Linked DNA regions of Schizosaccharomyces pombe. Changing the gene in region 2 together with the main gene of any one other region gives a genetic interaction. Each region holds a gene or a part of one and is shown on either strand. Other genes may lie near its edges.

Region 1 (3,686 bases), on a different chromosome or scaffold from region 2:
ATGAGATTCGCGAACAATTACTTTCTCTAATATTCGTCTTCTTGATTCTAATGAGTACTTTACCAAAGACTTCCCATTAAGATACAAAATATCGAACACAACGTAATAAGGGCTGTAGGATGAATGAGAGGAAGAATCTTCAAAAATGCTTCTTAAACTTCCGTATGGGATCACTGTTTCCAACACTGGATCCCATGTAACCATTTCTCCATCAAGAATAATTTGTGAAATACGTTTGTCAAATGCTCCAATGATGTATTGTGTCAGCCTAGATTGTTCATCGAAATAACTAGAGCCATAGGCATAAGTGTACGACCTGGCATTTCGACTATAGAATTGGAATTTTCCTGAACTCATGTGTAATTGAATACGCTCCCCGTCTAGCTTTTCTTCAATCCAAAACGGTTTATTTCCCATGGCTTCCAGCGTTTGATGGAGATCCTTTTTTTTGAAATTGGCTAGCTGAGGCTGGAAGCAACTAAAGACTTCCACATCTGTTTCAGTTTCATCAAGAGACCGACTAGGATCATAGAGCTCCCAACAAATTCTCTTTAAGGAGCTACACAGTCGATATAATCGAGCTGCATCAGGATGGAACACAGAAAGTATGAATTTTTCCGATGTTCCGTATTTTCGAACTAAAGAAATAAAAAAGTTAGGTCATAAATAAAGAAATATCATTTCCAACCAACCTTTCAGTAAAATGGGAATTAGCCATCGAAGCTCAAGAGGACTCAAGGATCTATAAAATTGCTCCAAAATATTAACTCGGGTATCCCTTATTAAGGTTAGATACGGTAAAAAATTTAGAACATACTCAGAAGAAGCATCTGCTAATTGATCCAGCAGGGCGTTGACATCACCAACTGTAAAGGCACCAGGAAAGGTCCTGTATGCCCTTCTTTGTAAAATATCTAAATTTTTTTCAGTTAAAATATGATCAGGATCAATTGGAATACAAAAACTATGATGAACACACCCTGCAACATGGTAGAAAAATCTCCAGTATGTTTGGACTCGGATCCTCTCCAATTTTTCAAAGATTTTGCATCTTCAGAAGTAGGACTCAAATGCATAGCCTTGTTAATTAGTCACTGATGTTGCAACTTAATTACTTACTCGAATAAACAGTTTTCCAAGCCCAAATTCCTTGAACCCATATGATCCTCTTTCACGATCCAACTAGAAAATTAGCAATTAGAAATTCAAGACACCGATTAAGACACTTTATGTAATGCGATTTAGTGGTCTAACAATTTTAAGTCGTACATCAGGAAGCACTCCATTAGTTAGTATAAGGAATAAAATACAAATATTAAATTACTTAGTCGAAGTAATGGATAAAGATCTGGTCCTACATGTTGTCGCCATTTATTAAAGTAATCCAAGAGGATTTTGCGCTTTAATTCATAAGGGTCAAGGTTTGATGTTTTGGATTTCCTAGTCTTTCCAATTCTTGATAACGGTTCCAATAATGTTGTAACAAAATCATAGAATTCAAGGGTGCTTGAATGATTTTGAGGTTTCGTAAATACCGTCTCTTTGGCTTCGTCCATATCTTAGGTTTTGGCTTGAAGCAATCGTTTTATAATACAGTTTATGATCAATAATATTTCTCAAATAAATAACCGATAAGAAATAAACATCAATTTAGTCTCATTATCGTGGTAGTGTCAAGTGTGTAGTACGAACACTTCTAATTATCATACATGAAAGCCTGTTCTCTGCAACGATTCGGTGGACAGTATGTTTATGGAGCAGAGAGCTGTTTTCTAATAAGTTAGGTAAAATGACTGTTCTGAATACTACAGATAAGCGTAAAGCTGATGATACCGTTAATAAACTTGACGGGAAATTAAAGCAGCCACGTTTGGATAATTTTTTTAAGACAAACACCTCATCGCCTGCTTTAAAGGATACTCAGGTACTTGATAATAAAGAGAACAACTCTGTCTCAAAGTTCAATAAAGAAAAATGGGCAGAAAATCTTACTCCTGCTCAAAGAAAGCTGTTACAGTAAGTATTGCTTACAATGTAGGCTAGAAAATTGGAAAAGGTTGTTAACCTATTTAGACTAGAAATTGATACTTTGGAGAGTTCTTGGTTTGATGCGTTAAAAGATGAATTTTTAAAGCCATATTTTTTGAATCTGAAAGAGTTTTTGATGAAGGAATGGCAAAGCCAACGTGTATTCCCGCCGAAAGAAGATATCTACTCATGGTCACATCATACTCCACTTCATAAAACCAAGGTCATTCTCTTAGGACAAGATCCTTACCATAACATTGGTCAAGCCCATGGTCTTTGCTTTTCCGTACGTCCAGGAATTCCATGTCCACCAAGTTTGGTCAACATATATAAAGCCATCAAGATCGATTATCCTGATTTTGTTATTCCGAAAACAGGGTACGTTAAAATTATTTAGTCTTTATATTTTTTCTTTCTAAGATTTGGCTTTTTGCTAATGAAGCAGGTATTTAGTTCCTTGGGCTGACCAAGGCATTTTAATGCTCAACGCTAGTTTAACTGTAAGAGCCCATCAAGCTGCTTCTCATTCTGGCAAGGGTTGGGAAACTTTCACTTCTGCTGTCCTGCAAGTTGCGTTGAATCGGAATCGCAAGGGTCTTGTAATTTTAGCATGGGGAACTCCAGCAGCTAAGCGACTTCAAGGTCTTCCTTTGAAAGCACACTATGTACTTAGAAGTGTCCATCCTAGCCCTCTCTCTGCACATCGTGGCTTTTTTGAATGCCACCATTTCAAGAAAACCAATGAGTGGCTCGAAGAGCAGTATGGACCTGAAAAATGCATCAATTGGAGCGCTGTTTCTGAACAAAAAGCAAAAATAAAGTCTAGCGAGTTGGAATCCTCTTCAACTGAGTAGAAAAAGTCAGAAAATAATTGCTCGTTTACTGGATGCTAATAGGTCTAATCAAGCTTTTTATTTTCTTTTGTCATGCTTGCTTTATTATACCACTTGCATGCTTATCTTTATTCTACCTACAATTGGACTTGCTTAATGTGTGTTATTTTTCTATGTCTTTCTTTTCGCAGAGGATTTATTTTTTTTTTGTCTTAACATTTAAATCATTCATTTTAAAGTTTAATATTTATGTCAAATCCATCGTAAACGGCACATTTATTAAAGACTTAATGTAATCAGTGGTAATTTGATTCGTTAGAATAACTCAGTAATTTTCTGGCTTCGATTGAAGTTCGGACAGCAGTTTGGATGCTTCTTAGTTTCCCAATACGTCCTTTTTCTTTTGCCCTGAGATAGTCCAATTCTCTTTTTAATACTTCTGTATCCTGCCTTGCCTTGGCCACCATTTCGTTTGCTTCAGTGAACAGTGAAACCGATAAATCTTCCATTTCTTTCTGACTTTGCTCAAGCAATCCTTCCAACTCTTCTCTTCGTTGAACCTCTCTCGAAAGTTGTTCCTTCAAATGGGTTATTGCTAAAGTATTGGCATTGTTTAATTGTTTATTCGTGCTTTCTTTTAAAGCATTTTCATTCGAATTTTCCTTGTTAGAGATAGAGCTAAAAAGCTTTGAAATTTCTACATGTTAGAAAAAATTGTTTTATATTGTATTGTCATGTTGTCCCTTACGAGAATTGCTCATCATTGTTTCAATTTTTTTTCCTTTCCTATAAAATACTAATTGCTAACTTTTTTTTCAAAAGTAC
Region 2 (8,640 bases):
TATTTAAAAAAAATGACTGAAAAAACTGCTAGTCATTATTGGAATGAAGAAACCTCTATATTGAAGCTTCGTCGCAAAGATATACTTCTGTTTGAAATATATGCCACTACACTTCTTCTAGGTAGCATTTATAGCATTTATGTTGACAAATGGTCGATTACCTCTTACTTTGGAAACTCGAAAAATTTGATTAATTTGATTTTTGTAAAAAGAGGCTGGTTCTGGACTTCTTTAGTATATTTTTATCATGCTTGGGATCAAAAGAGAAACAAAATTGACTTCAAGTTTATTTCAAGGTATATAGTGGCCACTCTATGGTGGATGTTTGTAACCCAATGGTTTATAGGACCTGGCCTGATTGATAGAACCTTTGCATTATCTGGCGGAAGTTGCAAAAACTTTGATGGTGATTCATCTGTGTTCATTCCACTTACCGCCTCCACTTGCAAGGGATTAAACGGATCTTGGTCTGGTGGTCATGATCTCTCGGGCCATGTTTTCTTGTTAACTCACTCGAGCTTGTTTATGTTGTCTGAAAACTTTTCATTTATTTTGAATAATGGAATAAAAGCTACATCTACTAAAGTACTTTTTGGTCTTCTTGGACTTTGGTGGTGGATGTTATTTGTTACTGCATCCTTTTACCATACTACTTTTGAAAAATGTACCGGGTTTTTCTCTGGTATTTTAGAATGGTCTATTGTTTACGTGTTCTCTTCAAGAATGCCAGCGGTCGCTGATCTTTTAGGATCCTCCGATTACTAGCCTTTACCACCATTTGTCCTTAAACTATGCTTCTAAATGATTGTTTTATATAGTGCAACACTTGTGACATAGCATATCCTTCCTTCTCTAAACTTATTTGTTTATGACCCTTTTATCTCTCTGTCGATTATTACGATAGTGCCATCATGATAAAAAAAATCTTTTCATTATTTACCAAAACTAAGTATATTTTAGAGAGTATTTTACTTGGGAAAAATACTCGTCAATTGTTTTGAGTGAAAATGCGTTCTTCCATATATATTTGATAGCCGTAAAGTTTCTTCTTTATCAAGCTTGCATATTATAGTGACTATTATTTATTCCTTTTTTTTTTTTGATACAAATATGCATAAATGTTTTTTATTATGGTATCTAAGTTAGTAATGTAAATCAACTCGCTAATATTATCCATTCAGCAAATTATAATGTATTTTAATTTGTCAACAATATACTTGTAATACGTTTAGTAAATCTATAGTAATTAATAGAGACAATGCTAAGAAGTTGGTTGATTTCATTACGGTCGGTGCCCATAATAAATGACTAATGCTTCGGAAGGTTGTCACTACCCACAACACACAAGTCCAAGGCATCTATATTATCCTTCCTTTAGGCTATTTTTTGTTGACAGGATTAGTAACGGGTTTATTGAGCTGAAAAAAAAGTGACAACTGTGTTCTTATTCCTTTTAATTACCATTTTTGCTGACGTGAAACATTGGAATTTCTTCAATTTCATAACGCTTTTTGGAGGTTGCCCAAATCCATGTCCGGAGGTAATAATAAATTTTTATTTTAATACAACCTTATAACTTTTCGTCTCTATTCGTTTTGGTCTCAATTACTGAATTGAACGATTAATTACTGCTTTCTTGAATTTTTTAATTCTAGAATCCACCTTTACTCGTCATATACGAAGGATATTTTTCTTAAAACAATCATTTACGTTTATCTCTTTCGATATTGAGGGTTTTATATATTATACTTGCCCTTACACGCTCAATTCAAGTTATTGTACCCTGCGACTTATTTCCATATAATATTCCTTATGCGAAATCCCTTTTTGACGTTTAGGGCACCTACTAGGAAAACAGGAGATTACCTGGTTTCTAAATTCGTAAAGAAGGATAATTTTTCTTCTTTGCGTTTGGCAAGGGCTTATACTTTTTCTACACGTTCCACAGCTGTTTCACAATTTTCTCTTCTCTCACTTTCTCAGAGATCTTTTCAGTCCCTTAAAATAAATAAAGGAATACCGGAAAAACATAAAATCCCTCTCATTTCATCTAAACAATTTAGCGTAACCTCAAAAAGATCGCAAAATGGGTCTTCAGGATCCAATTCTGATGCTAATGGTAGGAAAAATGGCCAGAAAAATGATGATTCAAAAAAGAAGGGATTGAATGGCAATGATCCGAAAAAAGTTTTTGAAATAGCCTTAAATGGCAACACTATTTTAGGTGGAATTTTAGTTGCCTATATCCTTTACAATGTTCTCTCGCCTAATGCAAATATGCAAGAAATTACTTGGCAAGATTTTCGACAACAGTTTTTAGACAAGGGTTTAGTTGAACGGCTAGTTGTTGTTAACCGCAATATGGTTAGAGTTATTTTGAGAGGCGGTGTAGCTTCAGGTTCAGGGCAGTACTATTTTTCAATTGGTTCCATCGACTCTTTCGATCGAAAACTAGAGGATGCACAACGTCAACTGGGTATTCCACCTTCTGAATTTGTCCCTGTCGCTTATCATGACGAAGTCTCTGTTCTTGCTACTTTATTGTCTTTTGCTCCCACCTTACTGATCATTGGAAGTGTCATTTATTTATCGCGACGGGCTTCGGGTGCCGCAGGAGGTGGTCAAGGTGGCATTTTTGGAATTGGTAAGAGCCGAGCGAAGATGTTTAATCATGAAACTGATATCAAAATAAAATTTGCTGATGTCGCTGGCGTTGACGAGGCTAAAGAAGAGATTATGGAATTCGTCAAATTTTTAAAAAATCCCAAGTTTTATGAAAGGTTGGGGGCTAAAATTCCTCGTGGTGCCATTCTTTCTGGTCCTCCTGGTACCGGTAAAACTCTTCTTGCTAAAGCCACCGCTGGTGAAGCTAACGTCCCTTTTTTAAGTGTGTCAGGTTCTGAGTTTCTTGAAATGTTTGTTGGTGTTGGACCTTCCCGCGTAAGAGATCTTTTTGCTACTGCTCGCAAGAACGCTCCTTGTATTATTTTCATAGATGAAATTGATGCAATTGGTAAAGCAAGAGGACGTGGAGGACAATTTGGTTCCAATGATGAACGCGAAAGCACTCTTAATCAGCTATTAGTTGAAATGGACGGTTTTACGTCTAGCGAACATATCGTCGTATTCGCTGGTACTAATCGACCAGACGTATTGGACCCGGCACTTCTACGTCCTGGTCGATTCGATCGTCAAATTACGATTGATCGTCCTGATATTGGCGGTCGTGAACAAATATTTAAGGTCCACCTTAAGCATATTAAGGCAGCCGATAACATCGACTTAATTGCCAAGCGTCTTGCCGTCCTAACTTCTGGTTTTACAGGAGCTGATATAATGAATGTATGTAATGAAGGAGCGTTAATTGCAGCACGATCAAATAGTAATGAAGTCCAAATGGTACATTTTGAGCAAGCTATTGAAAGAGTCACGGCAGGTTTGGAAAAGAAGAGTAGGGTACTAAGTCCTGAAGAAAAAAACACCGTTGCTCATCATGAAGCTGGACATGCGGTAGCTGGTTGGTTTATGGAGTACGTCGATCCACTATTGAAGGTCTCAATCATTCCTAGAGCTCAAGCCCTTGGCTATGCTAGTTATTTACCCAAAGATCAGTATCTGATGAGTCGAGGGCAGATTTTAGATCAAATGGGAATGGCTTTGGCTGGGCGTGTTTCTGAAGAAATATTTTTTGGACCAGAAAAGATTACTTCGGGAGCTTCCGATGATTTTCAAAAAGTAACGCGCATGGCTCAAGCGTATGTGACCCAATATGGTATGTCTCCGACTGTTGGTACTATAGCTTATCCCATCGACACTCGGGAAACTGTTCAAAAACCATTTTCTGAGGCTACAGCTCAAATGATTGATGAAGAAATTCGAAAGCTTGTAAAGCATGCATACGAAAGAACTAAGAAACTTTTGCTAGAACATAAGCAAGGCTTAGAAAATATTGCTCAACGTCTATTACAGAAAGAAGTCATCACTTATAACGAAGTTGAGACGATTCTTGGACCAAGGCCATATGCATACAAACATTTAAATATTTCTGAACTTATGCGTCAGTCTGAGTATAAAAATGATCACGATCCTCGAAATCCACCAATCCCCCCATCTCCTCAACAACCTTCTGCCTAATTTGTCAATTTACTGAATTTAAATAAAGCGTTATGAATGAAAATAGTTACTTTCATGGATCTCATGATCAAAGTATTTGTCAATTGAATATCATATAGCTATTTTATCTATTTTTTCTATTTAATATTACAGAAGCTAGATAAATATACTTAACATCAATTCTTCTGAACTTTAAAAGGTTAATAGATTATTATTTTCTAACACAAAATAGCTAATATCGTAACAAACAAACTTGTGTTTAGTTTCGACCTTTAGACCAGCATGTCATAGGGAGCGTGATACTCAACAGTTACACGTTTGACACTAACCACTGTACTTTCTTACAAGTCCATATTTTATGATGGATCTGATTATTTCAACAATTTTATTAAGCTTATTTATTCATTTCTTCGATAAATTTGCAAAAAAAAGGACTATTGATGGGGTAATTTAACATATATACTTGTTGTAAAGAAAACTAATAATGTGAAAGGCTTATCGAATTTACGTTAGTGTTTCTAATAATAAAGATTTAAAGAAGAACAAAGAAATTTTAGAGCAGCTGCTTACTGTTAAGAAAGAGCTAAACGCTACTAGCAGTCAAGATCAGTTTGCTAAATGGGCCCGTCTGAATAGAAAGTATGAACAACTCAGTCAAGAGTGGGAAAAACAATCAGCCAATGTTAAAATTTTCCAAGATACTTTCAAGCGGGTTTTAAGCCTTTTTCTTTGGATTTTAACCCGTGGATTCCGGTTTTATATTCAATTCAAAGAGTCCAAAACACCTGTCTTTTTCCTCCCTGCATTCTTGCTTCCTTCTTGGGCTCTATGGGTGCTATCTCTTCCACGATCAATCTACGGTATGTTGTTTTTAATGAAAATTCTGAAAATCTTTTTTTTATTTTTATTTTCATTTATCACAATGGCAGCTGAAATACTAACATGGCATGTAGGATCGGTTAGCTTAACAGTTTGGAATTTTGCGGTTCAAAAAACTATTTCCGGGATATTTTGATCTCCAAATCATCAAAGACGGTGACTAATTTTAATATTTTATCATTTAGTTTAATTAACTAAAGGGAAAAAGATGCCATATGTATTTTCAGTAAAGTCATTTTATAAATGCGTTTTCTACTTCCTTTTCTCATAAGAAAGAATGCCATGGAAAGCATAGTTTACCATGCACGATTAATATTATGTTATTCCTTCACAAATTGTACACTTTATGTGCTCTACACTGGTTTTCATCTAAATTGTCATCGGATTTCTTATTTCTATGCCTACTAATTCATTTGCTTAATTTGACGCTTTCATATTTCTGATGCTGTTTATACCGAAAGTTTGAAATGGCAAATAGGTTATTTATTACACAGGACATCTAGAAAGGGAACGATGCAGGGTTTTGGAAAACATCATAAAGTTACTACAATGTTAATTAAGAAGGGCACAAAATTATGATTAAAATTTAAGCTGAACTTCGATCTTACCTTTTCCTTTTATGCAACATTTCCAACCGTTGTATGTTGTTTTTTTAATCTTCAAAATTTTCAGTACAAAGATAAATTGTTTCTTGCATTGATTTTTCGAGTAAATTAAGTTCATGATAAAAAATTTGTAAGACTAAACGAGACCTATTCTCTCGTTTAAGAGTCGGATCGCACAATAGAGTCTTATAAGCTTCAGCAGTCAACCCACCATTTTTGAAACGACTAATGCGCTTTTGACACAGCATCTGTAGAAATTCTATAGCCTTACAATAAAAAGAAAAACCAGAGAGTTGAGCAACAACCTTTTCTTTTTCTCCCTCCTTATGTGCTATAAACACAGCCCAGATTTCATTAAAATACTTTGTAAGCATTACTATATTCATATCGCACTTTTGGAATTTGATTTTGTAAATGCAAAAAAATAAATATAAGTAAAGCCCGTAACTGGGACCATGATCTGTTATTATATAAAGATCCATAGGTTGTCTTATCATTACTGAACGTAAAGTCTCAGACTTGTCATTTGCGTATGTAGTTGGGGTGACCAGCAACTCCTGGGTGTTGATTATTCTTTTTTTATGAATCCACTCCATATAAAAATTTCTGTTAGTTTCATAAGCAATCATTGTCATGTCGACGCGCCAAACTTTGCAAGCGGTATCAATAAATCCATACTGCGTGAACAATTCATCAGCGGCAAAGTTTCCGAAGGAGTTGAATATTTCGGACATCTTTCGTATATACTGAAAAGAAATAAATTCTATTTTGATATCGCCTTTATGATCATTTGACTCCTGACAATGTAGCGAAGCAATAGCTGGACCAGACTTGTGATTAAAAATATCGAAAAAGGGTATTAAAGATAAACCGTAGTAGCTGTTAACGTAAAAACACCTGCTTTGGACGAGAACACAAGTCTCTAAATACTGATTCCATTTTGGACAAAGCTGTTTGAGATCAGCATGTTTATAAAAGTAAGGGCGGACCAATTGATCATATTGATTTTTGTATACTCTTAAATTTGTATTTATTACATCAAGCATTGAGGTTCCCTCAAGACACGTTTTATCTTTCCATAATAATGGGGAATCAGGCATACAAGTTTCGTCCAAGGTGTTTAAATAAGCGTTCCACGGACTATCTGTTATATTTTCCAATATTACAGTTATAACGAGCATGACCAGCCCAACCTGATCTCTATTGTCAAAGTTAATATCATCAGACCGATTAGATTCATTAAAATGTGTATACAACGAATCTCCAAATCTTGAGTTGCGAGGACTCAGAATGATCCTTCTAGGAATCTTTGCTAAAACTTCAAGTTCATCTATATCAAAGGTAGAAAATATACCATCTCCTGCGACCCCACTTGAAGCGATATACAGTTTGGGTGAAATGTAAGCTTCGTGTTTTGCTAGCCATTCAAGTAAGGGTTGGTACTTCAAAAATTGCTTGGAATTGTTCATGCTTTATTTAACATGTTTTAATAAGTAGTTAATAATATTTTTTATGCGCTTTCCGGCAATTTTGAACATTTGAAAGTTAATATCTTTTCAAAGCAAATTTGATTTTAAGCGTAGGTAAATACTCCAACCTTCTGATGTACACATTGATTTTTTGAGTAAAACTTGAACGTATCTTAGAACAGAAGATAATTAATTTCTCAAATTATGTTTAATAAAGCACATTAGTCTGTTCAAACTTGATTTTTAATCCGCTACGCGTTTTCAACCTGTCCGATACAGAAGGGCAATGCAGGATGGATCGTAAATATAAAAACTACTATAAGAATATGATTGAATACGATTGAAAAGGGGTAATAAACAAACGCTTTAAATATAAAAAGCTTCTTCATGGTGATAATTTTACCAAGAGTTGTACAGACTTTTCGCAATAATGCTTTTTCATACAAATAAATTATTTCATTTATAAAACATTCATAATTAAACAGTAGATACTTCCATCAGTAATGGAGAGATGTAAAAAACTAAAAATAATATATGACATAGTTTGCACATTACTTCCATTCACTATCCGTCGTAAATTGTCATGTCAAATTTTAGAAGGAAAAGATACACATAGACTGAGTATGCTTAATAACTAATAAATTCGAAGAAATTTACATCGACTCATATGTCCCATTTTTTACGGTTCGCTTGAGGAACTAGCATAATATGCGGTTGCTTGTTCTGTTCTTTTCTTTAATTTCACATTCTCAATACAAGATCTTTCATAAGCCTTGCATTCTTTCTTCAGCGTTTGCTCAAGAATCTCCTCATACTCAGTCTTTAGATCAGTGATACTTATTTTATTGTGCAGGACTTTTTCCACACAATTAGACAAGCGATAAAACAGTTCAGCTTGATAAGCCTCATTGTCATATTTCTCACTTAATAATTTCAAAGCCATGTCCTCAATTTTAGCATTAAACTCCTCTTGTTCTGCTACCATCAAAGCCATTTTTTCGTAAGCTTTAAGCAAGTGCTCAAATCGCTCACGCATTAATTCCTCGCCGTAAGCAGAAGAATCGGACATCGTTATGCTCATAATCGGTTTTTTTTTCTCTTTCACAAACAATTCTAAGTTTGGTGTGGAAAGATACTCACAGTCAAAGAGGGATTCACACCGCTGCCAAAACACAGCAAATGTAAACAAACAAGAAGAATTCTATTCAGTTAAACAATATCAATTGAATAGAAGAAAATATACAATAGTTTAAAAAGTAAACAAAAATATAAAAAAAAATTGATAATTTAAAGTGGGGATATCTGCTTCAATCGCAATCTATAATGTTCTGAATAAGCAGTAAATGCAGCGTTTATGCAGTTTTGCCTCATCTCCTGCGAAGCTGGCAAAGGTAAATATCTCACTGACTTGTTAGACAACGTACAAACCAAGTCATGCTCAGATACCCGCAAACCACTAATTTGTTTCACGGGTACAGCGATTTTAACAATATAATTACTTCCGGTTATAATAAAATGCTTCGTACTGATATATAGAATGTCGACATTTTGAATTTCAGCATGGTAAAGATATT

Evidence for each region. A genetic interaction does not mean that the proteins touch.
Region 1: mutations in get1 (region 2) and ung1 together harm fitness more than expected from each alone (negative genetic interaction), as found in Schizosaccharomyces pombe (2 studies listed by BioGRID).

Annotation. Positions count from the first base shown.
Region 1 is NC_003421.2:601,248-604,933, forward strand, and holds ung1 (uracil DNA N-glycosylase Ung1), read left to right. Parts: upstream 1-1,726; 5' UTR 1,727-1,789; coding exon 1,790-2,016; intron 2,017-2,073; coding exon 2,074-2,406; intron 2,407-2,473; coding exon 2,474-2,882; 3' UTR 2,883-3,157; downstream 3,158-3,686. Other genes in the region: DNA repair ligase Lig4, read right to left, coding at 1-638, 693-778, 818-914, 980-1,079, 1,120-1,182, 1,270-1,280, 1,325-1,556; protein Spo13, read right to left, coding at 3,158-3,558, 3,610-3,625. UniProt on the Schizosaccharomyces pombe protein: Excises uracil residues from the DNA which can arise as a result of misincorporation of dUMP residues by DNA polymerase or due to deamination of cytosine.
Region 2 is NC_003423.3:4,314,476-4,323,115, forward strand, and holds get1 (GET complex subunit Get1), read left to right. Parts: upstream 1-4,433; 5' UTR 4,434-4,471; coding exon 4,472-4,558; intron 4,559-4,606; coding exon 4,607-4,973; exon of another isoform or gene 4,974-5,066; coding exon 5,067-5,128; 3' UTR 5,129-5,644; downstream 5,645-8,640. Other genes in the region: fit1 (CoA pyrophosphatase (FIT) family lipid storage protein), read left to right, coding at 13-765; m-AAA protease Yta12, read left to right, coding at 1,813-4,134; SPOM_SPBC16C6.01C (lysine methyltransferase), read right to left, coding at 5,645-7,066; protein Spo2, read right to left, coding at 7,746-8,147; vps1302 (lipid transfer protein), read right to left, coding at 8,354-8,640.